Callithrix jacchus: one gene and its partners. The protein of the gene in region 3 interacts with the protein of the main gene of each other region in a biochemical or structural test. Links are inferred from orthologs where the notes say so. Each region holds a gene or a part of one and is shown on either strand. Other genes may lie near its edges.

The links.
Region 1: the proteins of KDR (region 3) and SHC2 form a complex in vitro, tested with the Homo sapiens proteins (2 studies listed by BioGRID). The link is inferred for Callithrix jacchus from reciprocal best matches to the Homo sapiens genes KDR and SHC2.
Region 2: the proteins of KDR (region 3) and HSPG2 form a complex in vitro, tested with the Homo sapiens proteins (2 studies listed by IntAct). The link is inferred for Callithrix jacchus from reciprocal best matches to the Homo sapiens genes KDR and HSPG2.

What each region holds. Positions count from the first base shown.
Region 1 is NC_133523.1:431,839-435,484, forward strand, and holds part of SHC2 (SHC-transforming protein 2), read right to left. Parts: intron 2,424-3,646; coding exon 2,363-2,423; intron 2,096-2,362; coding exon 1,976-2,095; intron 1,381-1,975; coding exon 1,327-1,380; intron 1,132-1,326; coding exon 1,080-1,131; intron 982-1,079; coding exon 855-981; intron 1-854. UniProt on the Homo sapiens protein: Signaling adapter that couples activated growth factor receptors to signaling pathway in neurons. Involved in the signal transduction pathways of neurotrophin-activated Trk receptors in cortical neurons.
Region 2 is NC_133508.1:58,640,251-58,643,896, forward strand, and holds part of HSPG2 (basement membrane-specific heparan sulfate proteoglycan core protein), read right to left. Parts: intron 2,114-3,646; coding exon 2,013-2,113; intron 1,925-2,012; coding exon 1,744-1,924; intron 652-1,743; coding exon 526-651; intron 415-525; coding exon 262-414; intron 188-261; coding exon 45-187; intron 1-44. UniProt on the Homo sapiens protein: Integral component of basement membranes. Component of the glomerular basement membrane (GBM), responsible for the fixed negative electrostatic membrane charge, and which provides a barrier which is both size- and charge-selective.
Region 3 is NC_133504.1:141,642,154-141,645,799, reverse strand, and holds part of KDR (vascular endothelial growth factor receptor 2), read right to left. Parts: intron 1,898-3,646; coding exon 1,783-1,897; intron 1,696-1,782; coding exon 1,532-1,695; intron 1-1,531. UniProt on the Homo sapiens protein: Tyrosine-protein kinase that acts as a cell-surface receptor for VEGFA, VEGFC and VEGFD. Plays an essential role in the regulation of angiogenesis, vascular development, vascular permeability, and embryonic hematopoiesis.

The DNA of each region.
Region 1 (3,646 bases), on a different chromosome or scaffold from region 3:
CAGAGCGCCCCTGCCCTCTGGCCCGACGGTGCTGGCAGAGATGTATCCTGCAGGCGCCCCTCAGCAAGCCGAAGAGGGTGCCCCTTGCCTGGCCCGCAGTCACTGATGGGCAAATCACAGGACAGCCTACGAAAGCGGAGGCCGCCCCAGAGGCAGGCGAAGGTCCGTCCCAGCTCCAGAGCGCACCGTCCCCGTGCACGAAGGGACAAGAGTGGGCACGCGTGCAACGCCGCCTCCCTCGTGGCCAGAGGGGCCGGGGGCTCACGCGCCTGCACCTGCCCCGCCACCGTTGGAGGAACCTGACTTTCTGATGATGAACAGACACTTAAATAGCTCCTTCTTCAAGCCGGGCTGGCGAACCCCAGCCCGAGGCCAAAGCCAGCTCACTGCCTGGCTCTGTTTGGCCCACGAGCTAAGAATGAGTTAAAAGTTATGTGTTTGAGAAAACACCCAGAGAATAACATTTGGCAACACGTGACAGTGACATGACATCCACGTTTCAGTATCTATAAATAGCATGCTGCCAGCACACAGCCACGTCCCCCACTTAACGCATCTTGTGGGGAAACGGAGGCCGTTTTCTGCCCTTTGCAGGAGCCAGCTGCCGTCTGGAGGAGGGATATTGGTAACAGCAGCAGGGCTGACAGCCTCGGGCACACTCAGGAGTCAGCTCGCTCATGTCTCCCTGAAGCCCAGGGGGCAGGGATGCTCTAACTCAGGTTTTACAGCAGAGGAAGCACAGGCAGGGAGGGACCAGGGCAGGTGGGGGCTCGGGCCTTCAGGGGGTGGAGCGGGCTCTGCACCTGGACAGGTCCCTGGGGGTCCCCGGGGCGGGGTGGGGATGGGTCAGTTACCTTTCCGGGGGCAGGGCCACCTTAGGCGGGCTGTGTAGGTACTGCTTGAAGCGCAGCTCAAAAGCTTGGCCCACGGTACTGATGACACTCTGCGCCAGGCCCTCGCAGCACTCCAGGATGTGGCAGGCTGCGGGGTCATGCGGTCAGGTGGCCTCCAAGCCACACGGCCATGCCCCAGCCACGCGGCCACGGGCCCCCACCAGCCGTCCCATTCCGGGGCCTCACCTCTCTGGTTGATGGGGTCCTTGGCGACGTAGGCCACGTAATCCGTCATGTCCTGGGGGTAGGGAGGGGCCAGCTGGACCTGCCTGGGCCCCCCACCAGGACTCCCAGTTGCCCACCCCAGCGATGCACAGAGAGGGGCAGGGGGAGTGGGCAGAGGGTACTGGAGACGGGGTCTGGGAAAGGGCCAGAGGGTCTCACGGCCGGAGGGGGCAGCAGGCTGCAGGTCCATCCCCATCCCCAGCCTTACCGTGTCTCCGCCTGATGCGAAGGAGATGGATGGCATGTGGTGGGTGGCGATGACCTGCGGTGGCAGGAGGGGAACGGTCACGGGGGTCCCACTTCCAGGGCAGGGGACACACGTACACACACTTATACACCATGAGCAGCCACACTTGACACACCCACCTGCCCAGATGCTCAAACACATGTCCCACGCCCTGACACACGTGTGCACACTCACACTCAGACACCCTGACCACCCACACTTCGCACACGCACCTGCCCAGAAGTTAGCAGGGGTCAGGGGTCAGGGGTCAGGGGTCAGGGGTCAGGGATTTGGGGCTGGGCAGCATCTCTGGGCTGCTATGGGGGCTTCAGGAAGGAGCGGCAAGGGGCAGAGGGGGGCTTCAGGGAGGGGGCTGGAGAAAGATGGAGCCAGTGAGGGGTGGTGGCTGAGGGCCGTCTCAGTGCAGTTTCATTTCTGCTCCCACCCTGCGGGCATAGACCCCAACCACCATGCAGGCAGGCCACCGAGGCTCCGAGCAGACCCTCCTGGCTGGGCCGGAGTTGGGCCTGACACACGCCCCCAGCACCCCACACAGCTTTCCCTCAGTGGGTCCCGGATCTCCCTGCCCCTCTGGGGGTCTGGGGACGCCAGGGGAGGAGGGCAGACCCACCTGGCGCGTGGCAGGCACAGAGAGGCTGAGACCGTCAGTGGAGATGTGGATGGAGATGCTCATGCCGGCAAATCGAAGGTTGCTCTTGCCCAGGACGGATGCCAGCGCCTTGTTGGGGGCCTGAGTTAGGGCGAGCACAGCGAGGGCTTCCGTGGGTGGGGGCCGTTGTGGCTGGGGGCGCCATGGGTGGGACTGCTGTGGGTGGGGGCTGCCATGGGTGAGGCCACCGTGGGTGGGGGCGCCGTGGGTGGGGGCTGCTGTGAGTGGGACTACTGTGGGTGGGGCTACGGTGGGTTGGGCCGCCGTGGGCAGGGGCCATGGAGGGGCTCCCAGGATGGCCCCAACTGCCCACCAGCCACCCCAGGAGAGGCCAGGAGCCTCACTCACCTTTCTCTTCCAGGATCCCCGGACGCCAGGCACAGCCTCATGGAGACGGTTGATGGCTTCCCTGGGGTTGGGAGGAGGAAGCTTAGCGAGTGTGGTGGGGGGCGGTCAGGGAGGGAGCTGGGGAGGAAAGGGTCAGAGAGACCGGTATGCAGAAGGCACAGGAGCTCAGAGAAGGGTGGGAGCCAGAGGGGAGAGGAAGGCAGAGAGGGAGATGTGGGAGAGGGCTGGGGGCCTTAGTTGTGGAGGGGAGGGGCTGGGGGACCTGGGGAGGGGTGCCCACCAGGACAGGCACGGAGCCCACCCCAAGTGCGTCCTTGCGTGCGGCAGATGCCCGGCCCCCAGCTCCGGCCCCTCGAACCCTCTTTCTTTCCCAGGGACCAGTGACACCCTGGTCTCAGCCCACAGGGAAGGCTCGGGGCCAGGTCTGGGGGGCTAGACCAGCGAGCGGGAGACCCAGAGCCTGATGCTGTCTGCAGCGCTGGAGCAGCGACCTCTGCTCTGGAGGGCCCCTGAGTGTGAAAGGAGCTGACCCCAAACCAGTGCCTCAAACCACGGGTCCCAGGAGAGGTTAGAATGCTGTGGGGTCCACGGCAGGCAAGGCTCACACCTGTAATCCCAACAATTTGGGAGGCCAAGATGGGCTGATCATTTGAGGTCAGGAGTTTGAGACCAGCCTGGACAACAGGGTGAAACACCATCTCTACTAAAACACAAAAATTAGCCGGGCGTGGTGGCAGGTGCCTGTAGTCCCAGCTACTCGGGAGGCTGAGGCAGGAGAATCACTTGAACCTGGGAGGAAGAGGGTGCGGTGAGCCGAGATCCTGCCATTGTACTCCAGCCTGGGCAACAAGAGCAAAATTCCATCCCCTCCTCCAAAAAAAAACTCTCCGGGGTCCTGAAGGAGGCTTGGAAACGTCAGCATCCTGTGGAGAAACCAGACCCCACCCAGGGCGCGTGGAAATTTTCATGGCACAGCCGCTGTGCAGACTGGGGGCCCCCTCAAAAGGTTAGGGTCACCACGTAACCCGGAATTTCACTCCCAGGTGTGTTCCCAAGAGAAACAGAAACACGTTCACAGGCCGGGCGCAGTGGCTCACGCCTGTAATCCCAGCACTTTGGGAGGCTGGGGTGGGTGGATCACCTGAGGTCAGGAGTTCGAGACCAGCCTGAGCAACGTGGTGAAACCCTGTCTTTAATAAAAATACTTAAAAATTAGCCGGGTGTGTTGGTAGGCACCTGTCATCCCAGCTACTCGGGAGGCTGAGGCAGGAGAATCACTCGAAC
Region 2 (3,646 bases), on a different chromosome or scaffold from region 3:
GGACTCTGCGGAGCCCGTTGGCCTTCTGGGTGGGCAGATCTTACCTGTGGTGGGAGGCTGCCCCCTTCCTTCCTCCAGGTGATAGTGGCGCTGGGCACGCCTGCAGCCCTGCAGTACAGCCTGACGGTACGGCCTTCGTGGACCTGGGTCCTCTCTGGGCTTACTTGGACTCTGGGCCCACTGCCCCCTGCAGACAGAGTCCCGTGAGAACACAGCCCGGGCTGAGCTCCCTCCCAGCCCCACCCGAGCCCAGCCTCTCACCATGCACATGGAGCACAGCCCGGGCCACCTGCTGCCCAGCGCTGCTGTGGGCTCGGCACAGGTACTGGGCCTGATCTGCAAACTCGACGGCTGGCAGACGCAGGATGCCACCTTGGACTTGTGCCTTCGCAGGGAGCTGGCCGTCAGGGCCCCCTGGTGAGTAGACCTGGGGTCAGCACCCACCGAGCCTGCTCAGAGTCCTGCTCCTGCCCTCCCACACCCAGGAGAGTCAGGCCCTGAATGGCATCCCCATCATGGCCTCACCTGCCCACTCGAGGCGGGGTGTGGGGCTCCCTGTGGCGCTGCAGCGGAACTCGGCCAGTTGACCTGGCTGCACTGTGAGCTGTGGCGGGTGGATGGAGACCACGGGGGCGGACGAGGTACCCGAGGCTGACAAGGGAGGAAAAGGAACATGACGTCAGCGTTGGGGAGTGTCATCTGACTCACACGACAGAGAACACTCTGCCACTCTCTCTGCTTCCAGGCTAGCCCTCCATGGCCATCTGTGCACACAACAGCCAAAGAGAGCTTTGGAAATGTCAGTATGACCTTATGACCGTCCCTCTTGAGACCTGTCTGTGACTCCCTGTTGCTTTTAAAATAAAAGCCAAAATCCCTACCCTGATCCATCACATACTGCATGCTCTCCCCTCTGCCCACACCCTTCCTCCCTCCCACAGCCCAGTCACGTGGTCTCTGCTGTTCCCCAGACACAGCAAGGTGCTCCTGCCTCAGGGCCTTTGCAAGTGCTGCTCCCTCTGCAGAGAACACTCTGCCAGCTCTCTAACTTGCTCAATGCCTACCCTTCCTTCAGGCCTCAGCTTAGGAGTCACCTCCTCAGAGAAGCCTGCCTGACTGTGTCTAGAGTAGCCCCTGCTTCTCCCATCTTGTTTTATTTTATTTTATTTTTGAGACGGAGTCTTGCTCTGTCCCCCAGGCTGGAGTGCAGCAGCATGATCTCAGCTCACTGCAACCTCTGCTTCCCGGGTTCAAGTGATTCTCCTGCCTCAGCCTCTCATGTAGCTGGGATTACAGGTGCCCACCACCATGCCCAGCTAATTTTTGTATTTTTAGTGGAGACAGAGTTTCACCATGTTGGCCAGGCTGGTCTGGAACTCCTGACCTCAAGTGATCCGCCCGCCTCAGCCTCCCAAAGTGCTAGGATTATAGGCATGGGCCATGACACCCAGCCTTCCCCCACCTCGTTTCACTGTTATGCCTAGCCTGCACTCATTGTCATGTGTAGTTATCTTGCTTATCCATTGATTCTCACACTTATGGTCTCCCTGCCTAGAACATGTGCTTCAGGAGGGCTGAGATCCCGTACATGCTGCTCTCCCCTGCTTCTGCAGAGCCTAGACCAGGACTAGGCGTGCCGCAGGTGCTCAGACATGATCAGTTGAATGAAGAAACGCTGCGCTAATCCTGGTGGGCATGGGGGGAAGCTGGTGTGGGAGGATCAGGTATAGAAGGGAGGTGTACCCTGCACGTGTAGAGTGGCTGTGCCCTGGTCCATGGCGAACATGTTGGAGCCGGTGCACACATAGGTGCCCGCGTCACTCAGCTGGACATTGCGAATGGTCAGGATGCCATTGAAATCCATGGCTCGGGCGGGCAGTTTCCCATTGTGCAGGCGGGTCCACACCAGAGTATAGGCTGGAGACTGCAGGACAAAGCAAAAGGGGGTCATGGGCGGCACTCAGAGACCCCAGAAGACAGACTCCCGAATCCCCACTCCCTGCCCTGCACACCTTGCTTTTGGCTGTGCAGATGAAGGTGACGTCGGCTCCAGGGCGCACGCTCTGACTGCGCTGCTCCTCCACGGTCACTGTGATGGGCTTGCTCGGAGCCTCTGTGGGGACAGGAAGCTTCCAGTGAGCCAGTGCTGGCTGGGCCCTGGGCCTGTGGCTGCTCTGTCTTTCTCCAAAACCTCTTCTAGGCATCACTTCCTTCCTGGTCCAGCTTAGCTCTCATTCCACCCCCTGATGCCTGCCTCCCCCATTCTGGCTGACCCCCACCATCCCCGCTCTCCTGGCCACATGGAGCAGCCACGGGATGTGGTTGGGGAACATCACACCATGAGTCTACTTGGCTCCAGTTCCTGGTCACAGACCACAAATGAGCTAACACATCACACTTCCCTCCAATTGGCTTTCTCCATCTGGTTTGAGTTTCTGTACCCCGACAACAGCTATTTCACACATCCTCCCACCTCCAGCCTCTCTAACCGCTCTTCCATTGTCACAGCTAGTGGCACCGACACACACTTGAGAAGAGAGAAATGACTAGTCAGGAGTGTTCCCAGCTCTCACATCTACCAGGTGCTGGCACCTAAAGGACGGGCCCCTTCTCGTGCCCCCACCCTGTCCCACTGTGGTGCCTCCTGAGTGCCCACCCCTCCCAAGGGCTTCCTCCGCTCTCACGACATCAGCGTCTCCTCTCCTTCTCACGCCATCACCTCCCTCCACAGAGGGCTCTCTAGAATTTCCCATTTCTGAAAACTCCCCCTTGACCTCATGCTCTCACAGCCAATGATCGTTTCCTGGCCTCCCTTCAGAGCCAAGACTCTTGCAAGAGTTGTTCACACTCACCACCTTCCCATCCATGCGTTGCCTCCTTCCAATCTGGCTTCTATCCCTTCTCTCTTGTCAAAGCATGACCTCTAAGGGCTACTTTTCTGCCCTTATCTGACTTCCCAGTGGGGAGGCTGCCCAGGAAGTCCTTTTCCCTCTGACTCCCAGGATGCCCCATGCCTCCCCTGCCTCGTGGCTGCACTCTCTTAGGCTCTTCCCACCCTTCCTCTTCCACTGGACATGTTCACGCTGGAGCTCCTCGGGACTCTGGGCAGGGGCCCTGTCCTCCGGCCACACTCTCCCTGGGTGACTTCATTCTGCCCCACAGCTTTGAACACCATCTCTGTGTCAACAGCTCCCAGACTCATTTATCTGGCTGTGGCCCCTTTCGGGAGCTCACACTCACATACCCAAATGCCTGCCTGGTGGACCCAATGAGATGTCTTCCCAAACGTCTCACTCTTGAACACGCCCACAGCAAACTTGGGATTCTCTCTGACCTGTTTGTAGCCTGCGCTGCTGGTGGCCTAGCCATGGTCCCCCAGTGCCTGCCTGCCTGACTTCTGCCAGCCACTGTGCCTCTTTGCACTGAGGGCTTTCTCGGGCCACTGGAGCCCACTGTGCATGTCCATGGGTGGGACAGACGTGCAGGGGACTTGCTGCTCCCGGAATAGGTCTCAGCCAATGACCGACAGGGGCTGACTTAGAAATACTGCAGCTCCCTGGGCCCCGGGGCAGGGTGACTCTGAGGTGCATGTTTTACACTGGCTCCCAAAAGCTTCCTCGGTTGCAGTAAGCGACAACTGCTCACG
Region 3 (3,646 bases):
TGCAACCTCCACCTCCTAGGTTCAAGCTATTCTTCCACCTCAGCCTCCCAAGTAGCTGGGACCACAGGCACATGCCACCATGCCCGGCTAATTTTTCTATTTTTAGTAGAGACAGGGTTTCACCATGTTAGCCAGGATGGTCTCGATCTCTTGACCTCGTGATCCACCCACCTCGGCCTCCCAAAGTGCTGGAATTACAGGTGTGAGCCACCATGCCCAACCTCCTTTCTATCTTTTTTGGCTGCAAAGTCAAAACTATCTCCTTATTACTGTCAACCTAAAGCCTCAGATGATGCTTTCAAGATTTGACTTCTTATTTATCTTTATTTCATATAGCAGAGTATATGCTAAAGTGAATCAAATATTTAGTGGCTTTGTGAACTGATAAAATGGGCTACCTGCTGTCCATGTTTTGTCTTTACTTCTTGTTCACTTCCTCCTCCCATCCTACTTATACACTTCCCAGTTCCTCCTCTCCCCAGTCCCCTACACCTACACAACTTCTAAGCAACCTTTCTGGAACCCGTTATCTTTAAAATATTCCCTGAAAAAAGAAATAAAGCCAAGCTCAGCAGGCATACAGAGGAGTATCAGGACACGTATGGAAGCACCTTAATGTCATGTGAAAACATCCTGAAATTTTAATATGCCATACCAGAAGGGAGAACAAAGAATTACAGCAGAGAAGCATTTCTCAAACTGTTTGGAGTGAGAGATTAACAAATTTGCTCTGGGGACAAAGGCAGCTGTGGTCAAATAGGTTCGTTAAACCTTGAATTCTCTGTCTGTCATCCTAGAGAACACCAATCTGCATTAGCATATTAAAGGTTCTGAGAAGTCCCGCAATGAAGAAGCCTGCTCAACATCTACACATCACCTTGGCACCTCTCACGCTCACCTGACCATGGCACCCTTCTCCCCACTCCATTCCAAACACTTCGTGCCATTTGGTTTCCGAACACAAAGTTCAAATCATCTTTAAATCGAAAACTTACTATCTTTCCTTTAGACTCAAAATCAGATCCTGAACTCCTGTCAAAAAAGAAAACAAGATTCCAACCAGGCCAACAGTGTCAACTTCAAAAGCCTTCAGAGTTGGAATCCACCTGTACATCACTGACACATCAACTACAATATCAAACTAGAAGCTTTGCACAAAATCCAAGGAGAAGGGTCTTACACATCTGCATACCAGGTGGGCAATTCCGTGAGAGGGGAACAATGGTAGTATAACTTAGCTTGACAACTGTCCCTATGGGCATTCTTATTTCACAGCATTTCGTGATCGAGGGTATTGCTACTTTAATCTTGCATTTCCCACCATAAAGCCCATTTACATGGCCTCTTAAACAAACATGGCCAGAGCACACGGTCCTACATTTCAGCTTCACCGCCCCAGATGACTTTTGTACAAAGGCCCAGCCATGATGTGAGTGAAGCAGCAGGAGGCAGAGGAATGGTGGCTTGGCTGAGTAGGAAGACAACATATCATAACAAATCTTGGGCGGAGAGGAAAACTGAATGGACTCACCATACACAACCAGAGAGACCACGTGGCTCTGCTTCTCCTTTGAAATGGGATTGGTAAGGATGACAGTGTATTTTCCTGTGTCTTTTTCACTCACTTCCATAATCGTCAGTACATGCCCCACTTTAATTGTGTGGTTGGACTCAAGGGGCATTCCATTTTTATACCTATGAACAAGAATTCTCAGCAATTAGTACAGTCGAAGGATTTACTCTCACAAGAAATGATGCTTTGCATTTATTTCCAGTAGTTACCATTTTATTTCAGGAGGTGGATAACCAAGGTACTTCACAGGGATTCTGACACGCTCCCCCACCGTGGCTTCCACCAAAGATTCCATGCCACTACCAAAAGCAACAAAAGGTTTTTCTGGAAGAAAATAAAATAATTATTCTCATAAATGTCAACTTCCTGTAAATGGTCATTTGGTTTAGTTTTTTATTTTAAGTGAGAAGTCAAAGACCTTGAGGATCTGAGCAGTTGCAGTTCCAAGATTCCCTCTGGGTCACAGTCCAGCTTCTCCCCCACCTCTTGTGCTTCTCCCCCACCTCCGGTGTTTTTCCCACACCGCTTGTGTTTGTGTTGCTTTTCTCTCCCCGCTAGCACACTCCCACAAGCCTAGTGATTTCTCAAGTCTCAGCTCAAACACCTGTTCCTCTGTGCAGCTTTCTCTAAGTGCCCCAGGGATGCCTGGGTGCTCCTTCTCCTGTGCTCCCATGATACCCTCCACACACCTCTTCCACCAAGTGTTAATAGGCCTCAGACCTCCGCTTTATCTACACCATCCTTTAGTCTCAGGTTTAAAGTATCATTCATGTACCTCCAAAAGTTGTATCTTCTCCTGCCCTGACTCCTGTGGGTTCCAGGTTGATATATTAAGTATCTCCACTTGAATGTTTAACAGGCATCTGCAGATAAACACACCTAACACCGTTTCCCTAAATCTCACTGCCTCCTCGATCTTTGCCATCTCAGTAAATAACACCACCATTTACTCAGTTGCTCATGCTCACAACCGAGTCATCTTCCACTGTTTATCCCTTTTACTCCACAATCAATGAGTTGATCAGCAGATCCTTTTCACTCTACCTTCAAAACATATCCAGAATCAGATCACTTCTCACTACTTCTACCTCAACGACCCTTGTCCAAGCCACCCCTCAACTCTCACCTGGATGATTTCAATTGGCCTCCCAACTGACCTCCTTATTTCTGCCCCTATTTCCCTAAAGTATTCTGGAGGACAAGAGTAATTCTATAAAAACATAAGCCAGAGCATGACTCTCTGGGCATTTTGACAAGAGCATCTCGGCAAGTGAAATAATTTAAATAAATTTAGGACACAGTGATTTCTATTTTGTTCATTCAAAAGAAACTTTCAAGTTCTTGCTAGGGATGTCACATGACCTAGAGGTCAAAAGCACAGCTTTGTAGTCAGGAACTTGAGTTCCAACATCAACTTCGAAGGTGAGACGAGTTAATGAAGTAGGTGCTCACTAAATCATACTTGTTATTGCCACTTTCATAACTCAAATAAATAGTATTACCGAAGGAATCTTTTAAATTTCATTTTATTGACACAGTCTCATAAAATCCAAAATCCTTTCCAAGCCTTGTAAGTAGGATGCCACACAAATTATCATGTAAACTCAGATATAGATGTAAATGAAAGAAAGTAAACAAAAAATTAAGATGATTTACTCAAAGCCAGTTCAATTTAGTTCCAGTTCAGTGCCAGTTGACCCTTGAACAACACAAATTTGAACTGCATGAGTCCACCCATAAGCAGATTTTGTTCCACCTCTGCCACCCCCGAGACAGCAAAACCATCTCCTCCTCTTCCCCCTTTTCCTCAGCCTACTCAAAATGAAGACAAGGATGAAGACCTTTATCATGATCCACTCACATTTAATGAATAGTAAATATATTTTCTTTTCCTTATGATTTTCTTAACATTTTCTTTTATCTAGCTTTATTGTAAGAATACATTATATAATACAAATAAACAAAATATGTGTTAACTGATTGTTTATGTTATCAGTAAGGCTTCCAGTCAACAGTAGGCTATTTGTTACATTTTGTGGAAGTCAAAAGTTATACCTTAGTTTTTTGTTTTTT